Linked DNA regions of Saccharomyces cerevisiae S288C. Changing the gene in region 3 together with the main gene of any one other region gives a genetic interaction. Each region holds a gene or a part of one and is shown on either strand. Other genes may lie near its edges.

Region 1 (5,599 bases), on a different chromosome or scaffold from region 3:
TTGAATACTGAAAAATTAAGCTGATCACCAAACTCATGTAATATATATGCTTGACTATACAAATTACAGGCTTCTTCTCATATTTTTCTGCTCTACGTTAACCTACTTTAAACAGTCCAAAAGGCTTATGTTGTCCACATGAAATGCCTAAAACAGATGGCCAATATTTAATTTTTTTCCTTACTACATTTAAATCTGTATACTACCTAAATATCCTCTTTCGCTACTGTGGGAGAAGAAGAAGAATAACTCTCAGTTTATAATCTGATCTAGGCACTCTCAGATTGCGAATTAGCTTTTACAGTAAACGCCCCATCGCTCCATTTTTTGAAAGAGTCTAGAAGTTCATCATTTTTATGTAACTCTGCTATCTCAGTATAACCACCTCTGGAAGTACCACCGATGATAACGTTTGGGACTGTTCTCCTACCAGTGACTTTTTCAATCTGGTCTTGTAGTTCTTTTGTGTGTTCGTGCCTATCCAATTCTACAACGTAGTAAGATGGAGAAAACGTGTACGAATTAGTCAACAAAGCTTTCAGTTTTTTGCTATATGGGCAGCCAGTCTTGCTAAATACAATCATGGGTGACTGTTCCATTATTTTGTTGTATTCTGCAGCGGCATCAAATTCAGCGTCCCCACTATTTTTATCAACTTCTTCGGCTTCCTTATCTTGTGTATTTACTGTATCATGGACAGATTGGTGAGTGCCAGGTGCATTTCCTGAATTGTCAAACGTCACCAATGAATCAGGATGGTGAGTAGTAATACTTTCGTTGACGCTAGCATTCGAATTCCTTAACACAAAAAACACAACAATGAGCAGTAAATTAGTTATTACCAAGACTCTCACGTTTCTTTTGTTTATAACAATAGCCATCTCTAATTTTCTTCAGTTGTTTTGCGTTTAATTTGAAAATTTTGCTTCTTTCCAATATATAGGTTTTTTCTTTTATTTGATTCGAGCTTTTTCACTGAGGGGATATGTACACATTGGCAAATATCCTGCCGAAAGTACTTCTTTATTTTTTTTCAAAACGCAGTCCCACTTACCGGTATGACGTAGTCTCGATTCTCAAATACACCCGGGACTGCATATTTATACATCTGTAGTAAAGTCATTTTATATGGATTGTGAAGGAAAAAATTTACATAACTGGAAGATAAATAAACATAACTATGTAAGGAATAGTAATAAGAATGTAGAAAACGCCAATGGAAGTTGTCCAAACTATAGTCCGACCCGTTGCATATTATTTACCGGCAATCGCCTTATCATGAGTAGATTCTAAAAATGCTAATCTATCGGTGATGTAACCACACACTCTTTTCCATTCCGTTTTATCCTGCCCTAAAAGGTCATCGAGATATTTGAAAGGATTCTTATTAACACAAACATATTCGTTTAAAACCTTGAAATTCTCTAGTTCAATATCGTAATTTTTTACCTTTTTTAAGGCCGTATATGAACGAGCAGGTTTACCATTCGTAGTCAAAAAATTGCTTTTAGATAAATCGTATGGGTCAAACTTTGGGAAGTTTGAATGGATGAACATAACATCTACATGATTCTTGGCATTTAAGTCCTCGTTGTCGAAAAATTCTTCGGTGTATTTTTCGAGGGAATAGTTTTTGTCAAACTTGATTGCATCAGCTGATTTAGTGCCACCGTATTTGTTGCCAATGCTCTCCATAGCATTTAAGTAACGGCCATAATCCTGCACAAAGTCGTGTTGTAACATTGCTACACCATGAAACCCGTCTTCATCATGGTAGCCTTCAACGCCTGTCCTTGTTCTAACTTGGTAAAATGATAGACCATAAAAGTTTGCAGCGGCAATGAAAGTTTCCTTATCACCTTCACCAGCAGCTTTTTGAGAAAATATTGGGTAGTACCACGTTGGTCCATTGACGTTGTAGAATAAAGATAGAAGAGCCGTAGCCAAATGCTTCGTTTTGTTTATCATCAGTTGGCCGGATTCCGTAGACACGTCGGGTATTGTTCCGTCTAGGTCACTTAGCGGGACGTCACTCAAATCCTTCAAATCCTTTGTGTAAACAGCAGGTGGGGTGATATCGTCTCGAGAATTGCGAACTCTCTTTTTCTTGTCCACAGCAATACCTGCAATGTCGTAATACAATGGGTGAGTTGTACGCCTCCAGAAATCGGGCCACATGACCAAGCCCGTAGACACATATGGTTCTTCATTGAATATGTTGTCTAGGGGTTTGATGGGGAAGTTGTCAGCATCCAGTAAGAGCAGGTTTTCAAAACTAGAAGCGATAAGGGCCAATGATTTAAACTGGTATCCTTTGAAAACAAATTTTTCAATCGTCTCTCGTGGTAGAATATCTGAAACGTAAATACACTTGGAGTTATACTTAGGCAGAATCTTGTTACAAAACTCAGTTTCACCTTCATCACCAGGAGGGATCAGGACTTCCACAGGTAACGTGGTCCCCATATTCCTTAAAGTCTTAATGATCAAAAATGCCATAAGGGAGAACTTCCCGCCACCCACTGTGGCTATACCGGACCCTTTGTACGTACCCTTTGGCGAGACGAGAGTCGCTATATGCTCTACGTAGTCCTTATGGCTTTTGGTCAGACTTGCTACTTCATCCGGAGATAGTTCCAAACACTTGGACAGCTCCTTAGCAGACAACTTGTAAAGATCTTTGTAGTGGTCGGGACGGTCTCCAATGTCACCCTTTAATAAGCATGCCTCGTTATACTGCTTTGCAGTACTCCCCTTGGGCGAATCAACCATTAGAAAGTTGAAAACGTTGTTGTAGAAGCTTTTCAACTTTTCATTGCCTGCCTCATCATTGTCCCTCAATGGGGTTGAATCGTCAGCGCTGGCGGCGTCTGAGGAAGATGAATACTTATTGGAGTAACTCTGGACATATCTGTCTAAGTACTCCTTGTACTCCTTGACCGACGTGTTCTCATCCATGTATTTGTTTGTAATGACGAACAGCCCGCACAATATCAAAACTATGAACGTCAGCTTGAACAGCTTTGAAAACCTTTTGGTAAGCAGCATACTGAAAATATAATTTTACTGACCTACCTACACTGATTTGTCTCGAAGTAGATATGATACCTTGAGCAGCACGAGGATATTAAAAAGTAGGGCAATTCTGCTTTTAACGTATAAGCAACACCAAGTACACGTAATTTATTTTGATGATTCTTCTATATTTTTTTTTTCTTCATTGTTATTTTTTCACTATCTTTTTCATCCCTCCGCAAAAGGACGCGATCCTTTTTTAGCACGTGAACGGTAATAACGGGTCCTGGACGATGTATTAGAGTCACCTAATCACCAAGCGAGCCAATGGCGACTCACTTGACTTGCATGTTTGCATAACCTATTTAGCGAACCCTCCAACTTCTGAGCGCACCAGCTTAACTTGTGCGCTAAGCTGCCTTGCCCGACATAGTGCCATCGCTCATTCCACCTCACACCTGATTAACTAAAAGTTTTAAAACTACGGGACTGCGAAAAAGTAGAGCTACGTTACTGCAGACCTACAATAATTGCACACATCGGCCTGATAACGAATGCTTCTAAAATTCTACTGTGCTACTATCGGCTGGTCGCGCCCGACGGGTTCGCTCAGCCGCTCTGCGCCCTCTTACTCTTCAGCCATTCTGCTGCGGCCGAAGCTATAAAAGTATGTCAATTTGGCTTTTTCCAAAATCCCCCTCTGGCTCTTTCTCTTCTCAAGACAAGCATTGAAGAGACTCACTAGTAAGCTTAAGATAGTCCTACACACAACCACCATGTCTGCTAACGATTACTACGGCGGAACCGCCGGCGAGAAGAGCCAATATTCCCGTCCCTCCAACCCGCCACCTTCATCCGCTCATCAGAACAAAACTCAGGAGCGTGGATACCCACCCCAACAACAGCAGCAGTACTACCAGCAGCAGCAGCAGCATCCCGGATACTATAACCAACAAGGATACAATCAGCAAGGGTACAATCAGCAAGGGTACAATCAGCAGGGCTACAATCAGCAGGGATATAACCAGCAGGGATATAACCAACAAGGCCATCAACAACCAGTCTACGTCCAACAACAACCACCCCAGAGGGGTAACGAAGGTTGTCTGGCTGCATGTCTGGCTGCATTATGTATATGCTGCACCATGGATATGCTATTCTAAGAGAACCCGCAAAAGTATTCAAGAATGAAAAAAAAAAAAAGAATAATCTCCCCTTCTGTTCTTTGCAGTTGCCTTTCTTCCCCTCAGTGTTATTTTTTTTCACAAGGAGATAAAAAAAAAAACTTTAACATGTCACTTTAAGCATGTATGTAATACGTCTATTAATTATATGTAACTTTTATAACTATTTTCATTTCTATGTGATCCATTTGCAGTTATGCACCTTTTTTTTTTTTCCGAATTGTGCTATGTATATATCACTAGTAATAATGTACCAAACTATACAAACACGTAGGATACAGTAAAAAAAATTTTAGCTGGTGAACTGTTGTAAGAAGGAGATTTCATCGGGCGTGAAATTTATTGCAGAAATTTGGGCAGAATGGTTCATCAAAAAGGTGTAGATCTCTTGCGCAAAAACATTCGCCTCTACATTGCTTGAAAGGCCCGTAACAATTTTATGAATGGTATCATTACTCATTGTGACCTCCGTGCTGGTCAAATTGATAATTTTCAGGAAACCCATGTACGCGCTACTCTTTTCCTCTACATCGTCCAATGCGTTAACGGACAAACACCATTTATTCCAGTTGGAATCATTGGCAAATGCGCCAGAACTGAAAACTTCAGGGTGTGTTAGCCCCATTTTTCCGATGGTCACAGACAAGTTCTCCATCACAGAGCTGTCTACGATTTGTGTGTTGGTGGTAAATAAATCTAGAATGATTCTAGACATATCAATGATATAAGTATTCAAATCGATACGTTCGCTTATCAAACCAAGCGCCCATATCGCATTTATCACAGCAGGAGTACCATCACTATCGTCGTTATGCATTATTTCCGTACCAATCAACTTCAAGAAATCCTCCAAATTACCAATTACCAGTTCCGAATTGAAAAAATATACAATATCTCCCAACAGGGCAAAGCAGCTTTGTCTTACTTCATGGACAGGGTCCTGCAAACATTCTAGCATGATTTTCAATATCGTTAAATCCTTCGTCCCTTGAGGGAACAATAGATCCTGCGAGTGAGCGCCAAGACCTTGTACCAATCCATCAATCAAATCTAATGAGGTGATGATGAAGTCCTTCTCAGGCACTACTATTGTCGGGTCTTGATGTGATTTGGCTTCCAATTCGACACAATGACATAGAATTCTAAAGGCTCTGTTGTACACTTCTGGTGCCATAGGCATGAATCTTTCCCCCAGTGATGATGCCACGCAGGAAAGACATTCTAAAAGTGGCCACAGCTCCTTGTCACTGTCTGACAGCAAAGCCCATTTTTCAATTAAGGGCGGCAAAATTATTTGCATCGCTGTCTCGTCTAATGCACATTTTTCAGCAAACCTGCCGATGGCATCATATAATATAATTAAATTCTTTTTCTTGTAATATTTCAAACATTTATCAAAA
Region 2 (4,909 bases), on a different chromosome or scaffold from region 3:
TTAGAAGCCAAGAAGAAGAGCAGATAAAAAAGAAGTACGCCCTCTAACAATAAAAGTCAAATGGCTAGACAATTATTCACTCCTCCGATAACCAATCCAAGGTTTGACCCTAATCAATCCATCAGGGAATCATACAAGAACACAACTGGCGGCATGCAATTTCAACAAAATCTACATGAGGATCAAAATGACAATGAGAGAAGTAGCTGTGATGGTGATGAAAACTCTACAACAGGAGAAAGGCTAGAAAACAATAAGTCTCCTATATTGACAAAACAAGAAATTGACGAAGCGTTGAACACTGTCACCAATTTACCTCCAGAATTATCAAAATTAATTGACATTTTTATTGATGACCTAAAGCAGCCAAAGTACGTACGGCCACTATCAGTACTGCAATTGTCTAGTCTTTTCCAAAGCTTTTACATAAAATTTGATAAAGCATCATTCCAGCACGTCAGTTCAGCGAATAATAATGGCTATTATTTTTCTGGCGGGGGCTCTAGTTCATTCTTGGCTGCCAAAGAAACGTTAAGTAGTGGTCTTAGCGGAATTTTTGGCAGAAGTAGGAGTAGTAGTGGAAATTCACTTATGAGGCCAAGAAGATCTTCATCGCTTTTCAGTAATGAGTCAATATCAAATTCAACTAATGCCACACAAATGTTGTCACCTGAAGAGATAAAAAAGCAATTGAAAATCAACGAATTAAACAACATGAAAATCGAAAAATATATGGAACTTTGTGAAAGAGATGTTTTTAAGAAAATTCTTATAGTAGGCACATCCGTATCTTCACCGAATAAAATGAAAACCTTCAAACCACACCAATTACAAACTTTCAAGGTTGGAAATCTATTTAGAAACAGTGTTGAATTCACAGAATACAATAAGTTGTTGAATGAAAAAATCCTCTGTTTGTCCAAACTCTCAACAATGAATAAAATCAATTTGATAAAGTTTCTGAGTCTTAATAATGGCATTGATCCGGAACCAAAGTTTGAAGAGATCAAAGATATTTTATATGAGTTTACTTATCATTCGATTTCACCATGTGAAAAGATAAAGGCCCTACTGAAACTACATGAAATCATGACATATTCCCAAGAAATGTCTAATGATGATTATCTTTCGTTGCTAATCTACTACATTATTACGATTGTTCCACGGGATATTTTCTTGAATGCCGAATTCATCAGGCTGTTCAGATATAAGAAAAAGCTGGTCGAAACAGAATCCTTTGCATTAACCAATCTAGAAGCTGCATTAGTTTTTGTTGAAGGCTTAACCAAAAATGATTTTTCAAATGAGCTACAAGATAAATTGACTGTAAATGAAAGTAAAATTTTAGAAAATTCAATCAGCAGTAGAGTCTCATTGCCATCAAAAACTGCTATAATGCATAAAAACAACGGTAATAACGGCAGTAACCTAGGTGACATCGTGACTCCTACTATCCAAAGGCCAGATGTTACAAGATCGAATTCGTATGATGGCTTCAGGACCGTTTTTGATTCATCATTAAAAAATATCATCGGAAAAATTAGGTCATATACTCCACCACATCCTAACAATACTAGCAATAATAACCTTCACAGTAGCAACAACTTAAACATACCACGAAGTTCGTCTCAATTATCCATGGAATTGAGCAATAGAGATACAACAGAGATGTCTAGGGATGGCTCACGATCAACTTCATCATCTTCACGATCTTCAGCATCTTTAGAGCACGGAAATCGCGAATTTACCGGCGATTTGACAGTAACCGCTAGCATTAACGGTGCTGATAAAAAGGAGTTTCAGAAATCGTGGAAAAAATATAAAGGCTATAAATTTGAAGATTTGACTATTTGCGAACTAAGAGATCTTTTTGAGATATATCAAAAGATGATGCAATGAAACGTATATATGAAATCGTATGTATAGATGCGAAAGAGGAGGAGAGAAGGCTTTATTTCTGACTATCTTCCTCCACTAATTTGATTGATCAATTTATTTCACAATTCGGATAAGTGGTCTATTATATATAACAATTCGTCATGTAAATTGGTGGCGGTGTCGGAATGCGAAGCCAAATCAGGTAAATACTTATTTTCATTATCATTTTTTATCATATTCACTAATTGATTAATAAAATTTTTGGTGTAGGCCAATGAATTGGTGTCGAATTCCAGTATTTGAATCAGCTTTAGTTTTATATCTTTATCACTTGTCCTCAACAGGAGAATTCTTAGAATTTCATTGTGTTGCTCAGTTTGACCTTTCGTTTTAGTGAAGTTAAGGGCGTGGACGATGGGAAAAGATAACTTCCCCTCTGTAATGTCCTCAGCAAAGCCTTTTTCGCTGGACATTTGGAAATCTTTCAAATTCAAGTAATCATCTCTAATCTGATAAATAATACCCAGAAGATTTATGAAAGGAACCAACGAATGGCCGTGGTGTGAGGAAGGAGACAGCGCTTCCATGAGTCTCAACGTTAATCTGAAAAGGCCGCCTGTTTTATTCATAACCATATTCAAATACATCTCCTGAGTAGGTATGATTTCAGGCAGAAAGTCTCTCCAGTATATATCCAAGCCTTGTCCCCTATGTAGATTGATCAATTCTTCGTTGAAAATCGTAATCAAATTATGATACAAAGGCTCTTTTGTGGTTAGCTGCGATACAAGTTGCATGGCTCTGAAATACATATAATTTGCGGTGTTTATAGTGGAGGGTACACCGAAGATTAAGTGAGAAGTGGTCTGTCCCCTTCTCAAGGGAGCATTATCTTCTATATCGTCGATTAAAAGGCTGGAATTATGCAAGAGCTCAACAATTTGCGAAACTATGGCCAGCTGGTCTTTGGGCAAATTCATAACTCTGTTAATTTGAACTATTAAATTTAGTCTAAAGTTCTTGCCAGGTTTCAAAAGGATGTGATTATAAGGTTTTGAAATCAAGCTTTCATTTTGGCTGGACCAAACAGGATCATTATTGATCAGCTCATCTATCTTGGCCTCCATTGATTTTCCAGACTCGTAAACGCTTTGTTCTCTTTCTATTAGTAGCTTCTTTGAAAATGAGCCTTACATGGTTTTGTAAGCACATCTGTCTTGACTTTTTTTTTGCTTCAAAAAAACGTCAAAGAAGGCAAGGCGAAGCAAAGAAAAATGGTAGTAAGCATACAATGATCAGCATAACATATGCAAAAACACGTAATTTCTGCTATGCTGGAAGCGGTGAACGTTGGATACCACTATAATAATAGAAGTTTACCTTTCAGTATGAAAATGCGGGCTTGTCCTATATCTATATGTAATATTATGGAGTGAGTAGAGATGGCGGCTATACATCGTTGTAGAGAGTTATATCTGTATTGTTAATTAAAGATTGGCCAGGCGAAGGTTGGTTCCTTTTTGCTTTAAATCTGCTTTTATGGGGCCATACCAGAGAATTATTTCTTTCTTTCAGTATTGGCTTGTCAAGCTTTTTGATAATGCTATTAAGTGTCAGCGAATTCGCCGTAGTTTGCAACGCTGTGTTGTTTGTATGGCAATTGTTATTATATACTTCCAAATTAATCAAATCTACCAGGTTAATAGAATGCAAATTCGCTATCTCATGGATGATGTCATTGTGGTAGGCAGTGCCGCTGTGACTGGGGTGGCTAAATGGAGGTTTCCTCTCAGCTAGCATTTTTTTCAATTTGTCTGAGTGCGCTTGAGAGGAGGCCTTTAATTTGGAAGTAGTGACTGGTCTTGTCTTCGAGTCACTGTTTAATTGCTCGAATGAATATAATAGGTTTACGATGTTTTGTAGGAGTTTTAGATCATTGGGCAGCCTTAACATTTCGAAATTTTTCAAGCCGGCGAGAGTCGGCTTATGTATATCTTTATAAAATAATCTTTGTTGTCTTTTGATGAGATTGGACAAATTTTTCTGAACTTCCAATACAGAGATCTTTTCGGGATCATCATCAGGTGAAGATAGGCTGGCGCTATTGTGGAATTTAGGGCGCTGCAGAGGCTTAGGTATTATTATATTTGAGGTGCCCAGTGTTGTGGTTGTGGCTCGAATAGCTGGACTAACCATGTTTTGTGCGACTACTTTACGCTTCTTAGGGACAATAATGGATGGTACCGCTGCCGTTGTGGTTGAAGGAGGATCGGACGTCTGATTTCTCCCTGAATAGTCAACCCTTTTTCTTTTCCTGAGTTGCATATGCATATTATATTGTATGTGCTTGTGTAGGTAGAAGCGTCTTTTATTTATCTACTGTCTCATCAGCTCATCGCATCATTAATACCAGTATCGGTTATAGTACATAATTAACAAATGTATGTAGCATTTTGGCATGCTGAAAAAAAAAAAAAAAACTTTATCAGGCAAGTGGCTCGAAACCGTGTGAAAGGATATCATCAACGGTCGTTTTTACCTGTTCCGCGGAATAGCGTTCCCGTGGGAAGAAAAGCAGCACGTGAGCGTGGAAAATCCGGGCAACACTTTGTAGTTCCGGGTAGTTGACAAACCAGGCCACGTGACCCGAGCTTAGAAGTGGACGCAGTAGCGGCTGTGCCTGCAAAAATGCATTCATGCGAGCGCGGGCCGCTTCGCGCACGGCCTTATCTGGGGAATGTACTGGCAGGGCAACCTTGGACCAGAGAACAAGGTGTACAACACCAGGCTCGAAGTTATACGGGAAATCGTTGGCACGCACAGCATATAGAGTAGAAGAACTAAAAGCCTTCGCGGCAGCATTTTCGAGCTGCGGTTCGTCTAGCGACCAGCCTAGTTTTTGCAAAACGTACTGGTTCATGTCCAGGCCAGCAGTCCTTTTCTTATGCTCGTGGTATTTGTCAGTCATCTGGCGACTTCGTTTCAAACGGGCAAGCTCCCCCGATTCAATTATCTCTTTGATTTGTTCCCA
Region 3 (4,636 bases):
CATTTTCCAAGAAGAACAACCTGATAGGACAAAAATGGTTGATAATAGAGTCCATTGTTGTTTGTACTTTCTGAGACCTTCAAATAAGGGAATTGATACTTTAGACGTCGTAACAATGAAAAAATTAGCGAAGAGAGTGAATTTAATCCCGGTTATTGCTAAATCAGATTTGCTAACGAAAGAGGAATTGAAAAACTTCAAAACACAAGTTAGAGAAATAATAAGAGTACAAGATATCCCTGTATGTTTCTTTTTCGGCGATGAAGTTTTGAATGCAACACAAGATATTTTTCAAAAATATCCATTCAGTATAATTGCATCTAATGAGTACATTTTTAATGAAAAGGGCGAAAAAGTTAAAGGAAGACAATACAAATGGGGCGCTGTTGACATTGAAAATGAAAAGTACTGTGACTTCAAAATCTTGCAAAAGACGATTTTTGATTGGAATTTAATTGATCTTGTAGAAAGTACCGAGGATTATTATGAAAAATGCAGATCTGAAATGCTAAGAACTAGGCTATTAAAGGCCAGAGATTGCTTAACAACGAAAAGTGTTGACATAACGGAAGAACAAAGGAAATTTTTGGAGGAAGAAATGAACTTCGATGAAATCGAGGAAAACAAACTCAAAAATTACAAGTGCTATGAAATAATTAATAAAACGGTCATGGATAAGGTGGCTACAGAATGGGATCCTGAATTTATAACTAGACAATTAGAAGCTAAGAAAAAATTCAACGAGCTGTCCAACAGAGAAATTTCAAAATTTCGAGACTGGAAAAAGAGCCTATTCATGGAACAAGAGAATTTTAACCAAGAGATTGAACAATTGAATCACAAGTTGGAAAACTTACAACTGGAATGTCAGGACTTGGAATACAAGCTGTTAATCGGAAAAAGTTCCAACAGCCATTCCACAGATAGTGCTACTTTAGTAAACGTTCACATCAAAAGGTAGTATTAATTAAAAAAAAAAAAAAGCCAATAATTTCGCGCAAGCTTTGCTCTACATAATAAAAATACAATTAGGATAGAAATGAATATTTTTTTAGCGGCAGTTTTACCATAAGTAGCAAAACCCTAACAATACAATGTGAGACTAAAGTAAATCCGGGTAATACAAAATACAATTTTTTTTTATTCTTCACAGCGTTTTTTCGACGGAGGAGGGAAAAAAAAAAATTGTATTTAAGGCATCAAATGCGCGACATCATATACCTTTGTCCGCTGTTATCATACCTTGAACCTCTACATTTCAGCCTAGCGCGCGCAAAAAGAAAAAAAAATCATAAGCAAGAGTGGTACGGTAACCACAAGGCAATGCAAAGAAGGGTGCGATATCAAGTGATGTTACCTTCCTTTACTTTTTGCCTTTTTCTTGAATTGTCAATCCGCCCTTTTTTTCTTTTCAGTTTTTTCTCCTTTCATCCGTCTCGTTTATCATAATGATGATTTCACTTATACCTATATGTTTTTTCTGGCATCTCTAATGTTAGGATGTGAAGTTTAAGTACTCTCCATTCAATGAATACAATTTTTGACAATATCTGATTTTACTATGATTAAACAGACCGAGGGAGAAAAAAAAAAGGAACTAAAAAAGGGCCTACGTAGAAGATGATGTAAAAGTAGATTCGCATCTGAGAATGTTTTCTTCAAATTTTTCTTTTCGGCCTTGGCGCAGAAGACTTTCTCTTCGTCCGCGTCGTATAGGAAACAAAAAAGTGTAAAAAGTAAAAATCGGTATATTACGCAATCCATTCGTTACCCGGTGTAGTCACGTGCGGGTGCGGAGGGCAGCCGTTTAAACCCGTTTGGGCCTTGGTCCGATAGAACCATCTCGCAGGAAAGAGCAGAGCCAGTTATCGGGTGTCGTTTACGCCCAGATGTCGTTTAGCCAGCTCCGCAACGGCCACTGCCACTACCACTGCCTCCCTTCGTATACGGGACACAGAGATCGTATACGGTAAACGACTAGCACTAGGACAATAGCAACTAACAATGACCGATAACAGTCAGCAACCTCAAGGCACCTGGCACAAAACCGTCGAGGAAGAGGCCCTTTGCCACCGTATCGCATCGCTTTCCCACCAATTTTTTTTTTCTTGCTTGCCTCGCCTCTGCTGTGGTCGTATTATTATTATTCATTCTCTGCGCAGTTTAAACTATATACACACGATTAATCCGTTATGCATGTACATTTTCTTGTATGCGTACGCCTGTGTATGCATACTTCTATATAATATATAATACAGGAGGATCTATTCTTTTTTTTCTTCTTCTCTTCTTCTCTCCCTTTTTTCTCTCTCTTCGTTTCTTTCCTTCCAGTAAATCTTTATATTAGTTGTAACTTTTTCTCTTTAGATAGTAGCATAGAGGACTAAGGAAAAGTAGTACAGCCATAAAAAAAAGAGGAAAAGATGTCTGCCGTTTTCAACAACGCTACCCTTTCAGGTCTAGTCCAAGCAAGCACCTACTCACAAACTTTGCAAAATGTCGCCCATTACCAACCTCAATTGAATTTCATGGAGAAATACTGGGCCGCATGGTACAGTTACATGAACAATGATGTTTTGGCCACCGGTCTAATGTTCTTTTTATTGCATGAATTTATGTATTTCTTTAGATGTTTGCCATGGTTCATCATCGACCAAATTCCATACTTTAGAAGATGGAAGTTACAACCAACTAAGATTCCAAGTGCTAAGGAACAACTATACTGTTTGAAATCCGTTCTTCTATCTCATTTCTTGGTCGAGGCCATCCCTATCTGGACCTTCCACCCAATGTGTGAAAAATTAGGTATTACTGTCGAAGTTCCATTCCCATCTTTGAAAACAATGGCTCTAGAAATTGGTCTATTCTTCGTCTTGGAAGATACATGGCATTACTGGGCTCACCGTCTATTCCACTACGGTGTCTTCTACAAGTACATTCACAAGCAACATCACAGATACGCTGCTCCATTCGGTCTTTCTGCTGAATATGCTCATCCTGCTGAAACTTTGTCTTTGGGTTTTGGTACCGTTGGTATGCCAATTCTTTACGTCATGTACACTGGTAAATTACACTTGTTCACTCTATGTGTATGGATCACCCTAAGATTATTCCAAGCTGTTGACTCTCATTCTGGTTATGACTTCCCATGGTCTTTGAACAAGATCATGCCATTCTGGGCTGGCGCTGAACACCACGATTTGCATCATCACTACTTTATTGGTAACTACGCTTCCTCTTTCAGATGGTGGGATTACTGTCTAGACACTGAATCTGGTCCAGAAGCTAAGGCCTCCAGAGAAGAAAGAATGAAGAAGAGAGCTGAAAACAATGCTCAAAAGAAGACTAACTAAGAGAAGAAACATACTTCAAAAAAAAAAAAAAGAAAAACAACAAAAAAACGTATAAAATGAAATAAATTTCGAACCGCTTTTTTTCCTTTTTTTTTTTTTTACTTTGTTTGACCTCCCCTAACTCTTTCTTTTTACCTTCACAATTGTTTATTTTAATATATGATTTTTAAATTAATTCAGGTTAATTCTAAAAACTATATTGCAATCTTTTAAATATATGTATACACGTTCATTACCACGTATACATATCCATATATATATATATATATATACATACTATTTATGATAAATTTTTAACAAGCAAACCCATTATTAAATGCTATAAATAAAAGACAGCTTCTTTCTAATTATTATTCAAACTTAAAAACTACATATACAAAAACTACAAAAATCTTTCAACCGACCCATCTTCTGGCAGATCTGAATAATCTAATCCATGGACCGTATCCACCCCACTCTTCGTATTTGCCCTCTGGATACCAGGAATTGGCCTCCAATCTGCAAACTCTTTCAGGATGTGGCATCATGGCAAGCACTCTACCATTTGGTGACTTGATACCGGCAATACCATTGGTCGACCCATTGGGGTTGAAGGGGAACCTTTCGGTGACGTTACCGTAGTTGTCCACATACCTTATACAACATAAACCATCCTTTTCGAACTTTTCCAGTTGTTCAGCGCTTTTAGAAAATGTTGCTTTACCTTCACCATGTGCGACAGCAATTGGCAATTTGGATCCTGCCATGCCATTCAAGAAAACAGATTCCTCGCTAGAATTGTCCTTTTCTTGAGATATTTGCACCATACATACACGGGCTTCATATTGTTCACTAACATTTCTTTCGAAACTTGGCCAGTTTTCACACCCGGGTATGATATCTTTTAATCTACTCAAGAATTGACAACCATTACAAGCACCAAAAGCAAATGTATCTTGTCTTTCATTGAAGAACTTAGAAAATTGCGAGCGCACACCTTCGTGATACAATACGGATTTAGCCCAACCCGCACCTGCACCTAAGACATCACCATAAGAGAAACCACCACATGCGGCAAGACCGATGAAGTCATCCAAATGGAACCTACCTTCTAGCAAATCTGTCATAGTGACATCCACTGAGTTGAATCCAGCTTGTTGGAAGCACCATGCCATTTCCATTTGACCGTTCACACCTTGCTCTCTTAAGATAGCAACCTTTGGCCTTTGACTGGATAATTCTAATCCGATCTTCATATCATCGGCTGGGTTGTATGTTAGGGCATACTGCAAACCGGGATCTCT
Region 4 (4,624 bases), on a different chromosome or scaffold from region 3:
GTCACCATGAAGATCATCACAAAGATGAAAAACCAGCGGTTGTCACTGTCACTCAATACATAGATTCCAATGCCGCTACTAGTACTGTAGAATCTGCTGCTACTACCACTACATTGTCCTCATCTGAGAAGGATACCTCTGAACAGAAGCGTGATGGCGGATTCCAAGATGGTACTGTCAAATGTTCGGACTTCCCTTCTGTAAACGGTATAGTTTCCTTGGACTGGCTAGGATTTGGTGGATGGGCCTCTGTCATGGACATGGATGCCAACACTTCGTCCGAATGTAAGGATGGCTACTACTGTTCTTATGCATGTGAACCTGGAATGTCAAAGACTCAATGGCCTTCTGACCAACCAAGCGATGGTAAATCTGTTGGTGGTCTTTACTGTAAAAATGGTTACTTGTACCGTACCAACACTGATACCAGCGATTTATGTTCTACGGATGAAACATCTGCTAAGGCCATTAACAAAAAGTCTGACTCCATTGCTCTATGTAGGACGGATTACCCAGGATCAGAAAACATGGTGATTCCCACAGTGGTTGATGGTGGAGATTCACAACCAATTTCAGTCGTTGATGAAGACACTTATTATCAATGGCAGGGTAAAAAGACTTCTGCTCAGTACTATATTAACAACGCCGGTGTATCTGCAGAAGATGGGTGCATTTGGGGTACTTCTGGTTCGGATGTCGGCAACTGGGCTCCACTAGTGTTAGGTGCTGGTTCCACTAATGGAGAAACATACTTGTCGTTGATTCCAAACCCCAACAGTAACCAAGCTGCCAACTTTAACGTTAAAATAGTTGCATCCGATGGCGCTAACGTTCAGGGCAGCTGTGCGTATGAAGATGGCTCTTTCACCGGAGATGGTTCCGATGGTTGCACAGTTTCTGTTTTATCTGGATCTGCTGAATTTGTTTTCTATTAAGTCATTCTTCTTTTCGGTAAAAGAATGTCTTGTATTTTGATACCCTCAATTCCCCTTATTATTCTTTTTCTTCCGCTCTCTATTTATTATTATACATTGGGATTCCGTTATATTTTTCTCCTTTCAGTTCATTTTACTTCTTAAAAAGTTTCGTTGATCGCTATTATGCTATGGATTCAAAGATTTTCTTTTCTCTCTCTTCAAGGTGTACTCTGCATTACGGTTTTCTTTAGTTCGTTTATTTTTTTTTTGTTAACAAGGTGTTTGTATACATATATATAAATATATGGAAATATTATAGTGTTTATTTTGTTACTTCCTGCGAGTTGCAACAGAACTAACAAGATGCCATGCTGTTTTTTTTCATTTTTTGGCTATAAAAATAACAGTATCCTAGTCCTTGTGTTCGGCTTTAAAATGGAATTGCAAACCCCATAATTCCTTCTTCACACCGAACAAACCGCCTAGTAGTCGATTTTCAGAGACTCTAATGCTTTGAATATAAGTGAACCCTTTTTTCTTCAAAATTTCCTTAAGCGTGCTATCGAATGAGTAGACATCAATCAAGAGTTTCATGGTCTCCCCGTATTTGCCGCTGCTTCTAATATTTTTGGAGTGTAGCATAGCCCAATCAATCAAATCTTCGATAATGCCACTTTTTACATATACACGACGACAACCCACAGTAGTAACACTCATGACTAAATTTTCATCAGTACTTAATGTCATGTTAGGGGCTAACGAAATCAATGCAATGGGCGTTTCTCTATAAACGATGATATGCGTATTGTTCACCACTGGATCCTTTGTTTCATGTCTTGCCACCAAATCATTCAAATTGATGCCGAAAACTTTCTCACCTTTAGAACCAACAAGTTGGTTGATCTTCGACTTGAAATACGAGTCAGATACACGTGAGAGGAGGGTGAACAAGAAAGATGCACCAATTGCGGTGAACACTAAACCGCTGAGGACGACCTTCTTATTAATACGAGCCAGCTGGTAGAACCATCCAGCAACGGATCCTGTATTCCTTATCGGAAAGACAATTCTTGGCGTCAAGTAAATAAGCAGCCCAATGGTTAGAACAACAAGGATGACGGGATGGAAGAACAAATACTTATTAGCCAATGCCTGTTCTTGTCTGATGAAATCCGCGGACAAATTCAATGCAGCTGTACCATATTCTGGTTTCAAATTAACACTGTAAATAGTAGGAGGAGCATCAATATCAAGTGGTTTGTCTAATGATGCATCTACTTGTGGGACCGATGGGGCATTTTTATCGGACTTTCTACCCTCTTTCTTCTTTCTTTGTTGAACCGCCATTGTGCCACTCTTCCTACTCTTGTACTTTCGCTATGAAAAAATGTGCAACTGGAAGAGTCGTAATCAATCTAGAAAACTTAGTAAAAGTATGTGCTATATATCTATAAACATGAAAAGCTTTATTTGTGTGAGAGAGAAAAAAAGATGTTCTTTGGTCGTTATTCATTATAGTTTCCATAAAGAGCACGTGCGGGCGCGCTGGGTAATGCGGGTGTGAATTTTCAGTTATAGGTCAACTACAACAGCAGGTCGAGAGGGCTTCTTCAGAAAGCGAGAGGTCGTACCAGGGATGATGTTGCGGGAGCTGCTGTTGCTGCTGCTGATAATGCACCAGTGCAGTTGGACTGGGAAGAGCAAGTGGAACAGCCACCATCTGGATTTCCATTATTGGGTACATATTTGAGAGTGGACGCTCGATGCGATGTGGTCTTCGACGCCTCCGCTTCCTCTTGATGGCTACGATCCTCAGACGAGGCCGTTTGCGTCTCTTAACGTGTGTGTGTTGTATAATGGGAGAACAGGGTTGTCTCTCCTCGGTCTTGCGCTTTTTCACTCGCAATACAGCATGCCCAAGAGTGCAGAGCCTATCAATGAGATAATTGATTAGAATAGAATTTATCAGTGGGTCGACAATAATGAACCACTTGACAACGGTCTTGGCCGCACGTAAAACCTGTGTGGTGCGAGAAGCAACGAATCTGTATACAGTTGATACAGAACGTCGGATCAACAAAATGGGGCGTGATGAAGAAAAAAAGTGGCGATCCCGTGGAGGACATTGGTGCATGGATGATTCAATCATACAATTTACGACATTTAACCAAAGTTGCACTCTGATGGGCTCAACGACTGCTACTCGTGCCAATAATGAAACTGAAAAGCATGAAGCCATCACTGTTTTTTTCGTGGTCTTTCTATATATAAACAAAGCCTCTGTAAAGTTTTTTTTTTTCGCATAACAAACGCGCTTATCTGAGACATAACAACAGCCAACGACCGATGCCTGCGTGGAATAAACAATAATACGCTGCAGAGGATAAAAAGAGAGGTATCATGTCTATTTATTCTCTGCTTTTCTAATCAAATGTGTATTGTATGCTGAACCATGCCGGTTGGTTGCTTCTTCCGGTAATTGCATTCAAGTCCTGCAACTTTAAATGTCCTCTTATAAAGCAGGACGTGGCTTCAGAAACAAAAAATGTGTCGCCAAGAGAAAACAAGAACAGCTATCCAAGTCGAGCTGGGAAAGTAATCAGATTTTTGTATATGTATAGGTACTTTCTTGATCCGTAAGCTGGAACTTCTTTCATGATCTCTGTTATAGGAAAGCCAGAATAGAAAGAATCCGCCCGTAAAAAGAAAAATAAAGCAAACTCGATACAATTTCATGCAAGAAGGCCATTTGCTAATTCCAAGAGCGAGGTAAACACACAAGAAAAAATGGTCAAACCAATTATAGCTCCCAGTATCCTTGCTTCTGACTTCGCCAACTTGGGTTGCGAATGTCATAAGGTCATCAACGCCGGCGCAGATTGGTTACATATCGATGTCATGGACGGCCATTTTGTTCCAAACATTACTCTGGGCCAACCAATTGTTACCTCCCTACGTCGTTCTGTGCCACGCCCTGGCGATGCTAGCAACACAGAAAAGAAGCCCACTGCGTTCTTCGATTGTCACATGATGGTTGAAAATCCTGAAAAATGGGTCGACGATTTTGCTAAATGTGGTGCTGACCAATTTACGTTCCACTACGAGGCCACACAAGACCCTTTGCATTTAGTTAAGTTGATTAAGTCTAAGGGCATCAAAGCTGCATGCGCCATCAAACCTGGTACTTCTGTTGACGTTTTATTTGAACTAGCTCCTCATTTGGATATGGCTCTTGTTATGACTGTGGAACCTGGGTTTGGAGGCCAAAAATTCATGGAAGACATGATGCCAAAAGTGGAAACTTTGAGAGCCAAGTTCCCCCATTTGAATATCCAAGTCGATGGTGGTTTGGGCAAGGAGACCATCCCGAAAGCCGCCAAAGCCGGTGCCAACGTTATTGTCGCTGGTACCAGTGTTTTCACTGCAGCTGACCCGCACGATGTTATCTCCTTCATGAAAGAAGAAGTCTCGAAGGAATTGCGTTCTAGAGATTTGCTAGATTAGTTGTACATATGCGGCATTTCTTATATTTATACTCTCTATACTATACGATATGGTATTTTTTTCTCGTTTTGATCTCCTAATATACATAAACCGAGCCATTCCTACTATACAAGATACGTAAGTGCCTAACTCATGGGAAAAATGGGCCGCCCAGGGTGGTGCCTTGTCCGTTTTCGATGATCAATCCCTGGGATGCAGTATCG

Evidence for each region.
Region 1: mutations in ERG25 (region 3) and MNN2 together harm fitness more than expected from each alone (negative genetic interaction), as found in Saccharomyces cerevisiae (3 studies listed by BioGRID).
Region 2: mutations in ERG25 (region 3) and BTS1 together harm fitness more than expected from each alone (negative genetic interaction), as found in Saccharomyces cerevisiae (3 studies listed by BioGRID).
Region 4: mutations in ERG25 (region 3) and PHO86 together harm fitness more than expected from each alone (negative genetic interaction), as found in Saccharomyces cerevisiae (3 studies listed by BioGRID).

Annotation. Positions count from the first base shown.
Region 1 is NC_001134.8:266,456-272,054, forward strand, and holds MNN2 (alpha-1,2-mannosyltransferase MNN2), read right to left. Parts: upstream 3,049-5,599; coding exon 1,255-3,048; downstream 1-1,254. Other genes in the region: glutathione-disulfide reductase GRX7, read right to left, coding at 270-881; cysteine-rich palmitoylated domain-containing protein CPP1, read left to right, coding at 3,792-4,178; KAP104 (Kap104p), read right to left, coding at 4,492-5,599. UniProt on the Saccharomyces cerevisiae protein: Alpha-1,2-mannosyltransferase, responsible for addition of the first alpha-1,2-linked mannose to form the branches on the mannan backbone of oligosaccharides.
Region 2 is NC_001148.4:420,888-425,796, forward strand, and holds BTS1 (farnesyltranstransferase), read right to left. Parts: upstream 3,006-4,909; coding exon 1,998-3,005; downstream 1-1,997. Other genes in the region: guanine nucleotide exchange factor MUK1, read left to right, coding at 61-1,899; YPL068C (uncharacterized protein), read right to left, coding at 3,328-4,209; HTC1 (Htc1p), read right to left, coding at 4,364-4,909. UniProt on the Saccharomyces cerevisiae protein: Catalyzes the trans-addition of the 3 molecules of IPP onto DMAPP to form geranylgeranyl pyrophosphate. Required for the membrane attachment of YPT1 and SEC4. May be involved in vesicle trafficking and protein sorting.
Region 3 is NC_001139.9:608,141-612,776, forward strand, and holds ERG25 (methylsterol monooxygenase), read left to right. Parts: upstream 1-2,423; coding exon 2,424-3,353; downstream 3,354-4,636. Other genes in the region: septin SPR3, read left to right, coding at 1-961; ADE6 (phosphoribosylformylglycinamidine synthase), read right to left, coding at 3,749-4,636.
Region 4 is NC_001142.9:190,171-194,794, reverse strand, and holds PHO86 (Pho86p), read right to left. Parts: upstream 2,265-4,624; coding exon 1,329-2,264; downstream 1-1,328. Other genes in the region: SUN family protein NCA3, read left to right, coding at 1-935; YJL118W (uncharacterized protein), read right to left, coding at 2,497-3,156; ribulose-phosphate 3-epimerase RPE1, read left to right, coding at 3,705-4,421; ALB1 (Alb1p), read right to left, coding at 4,552-4,624.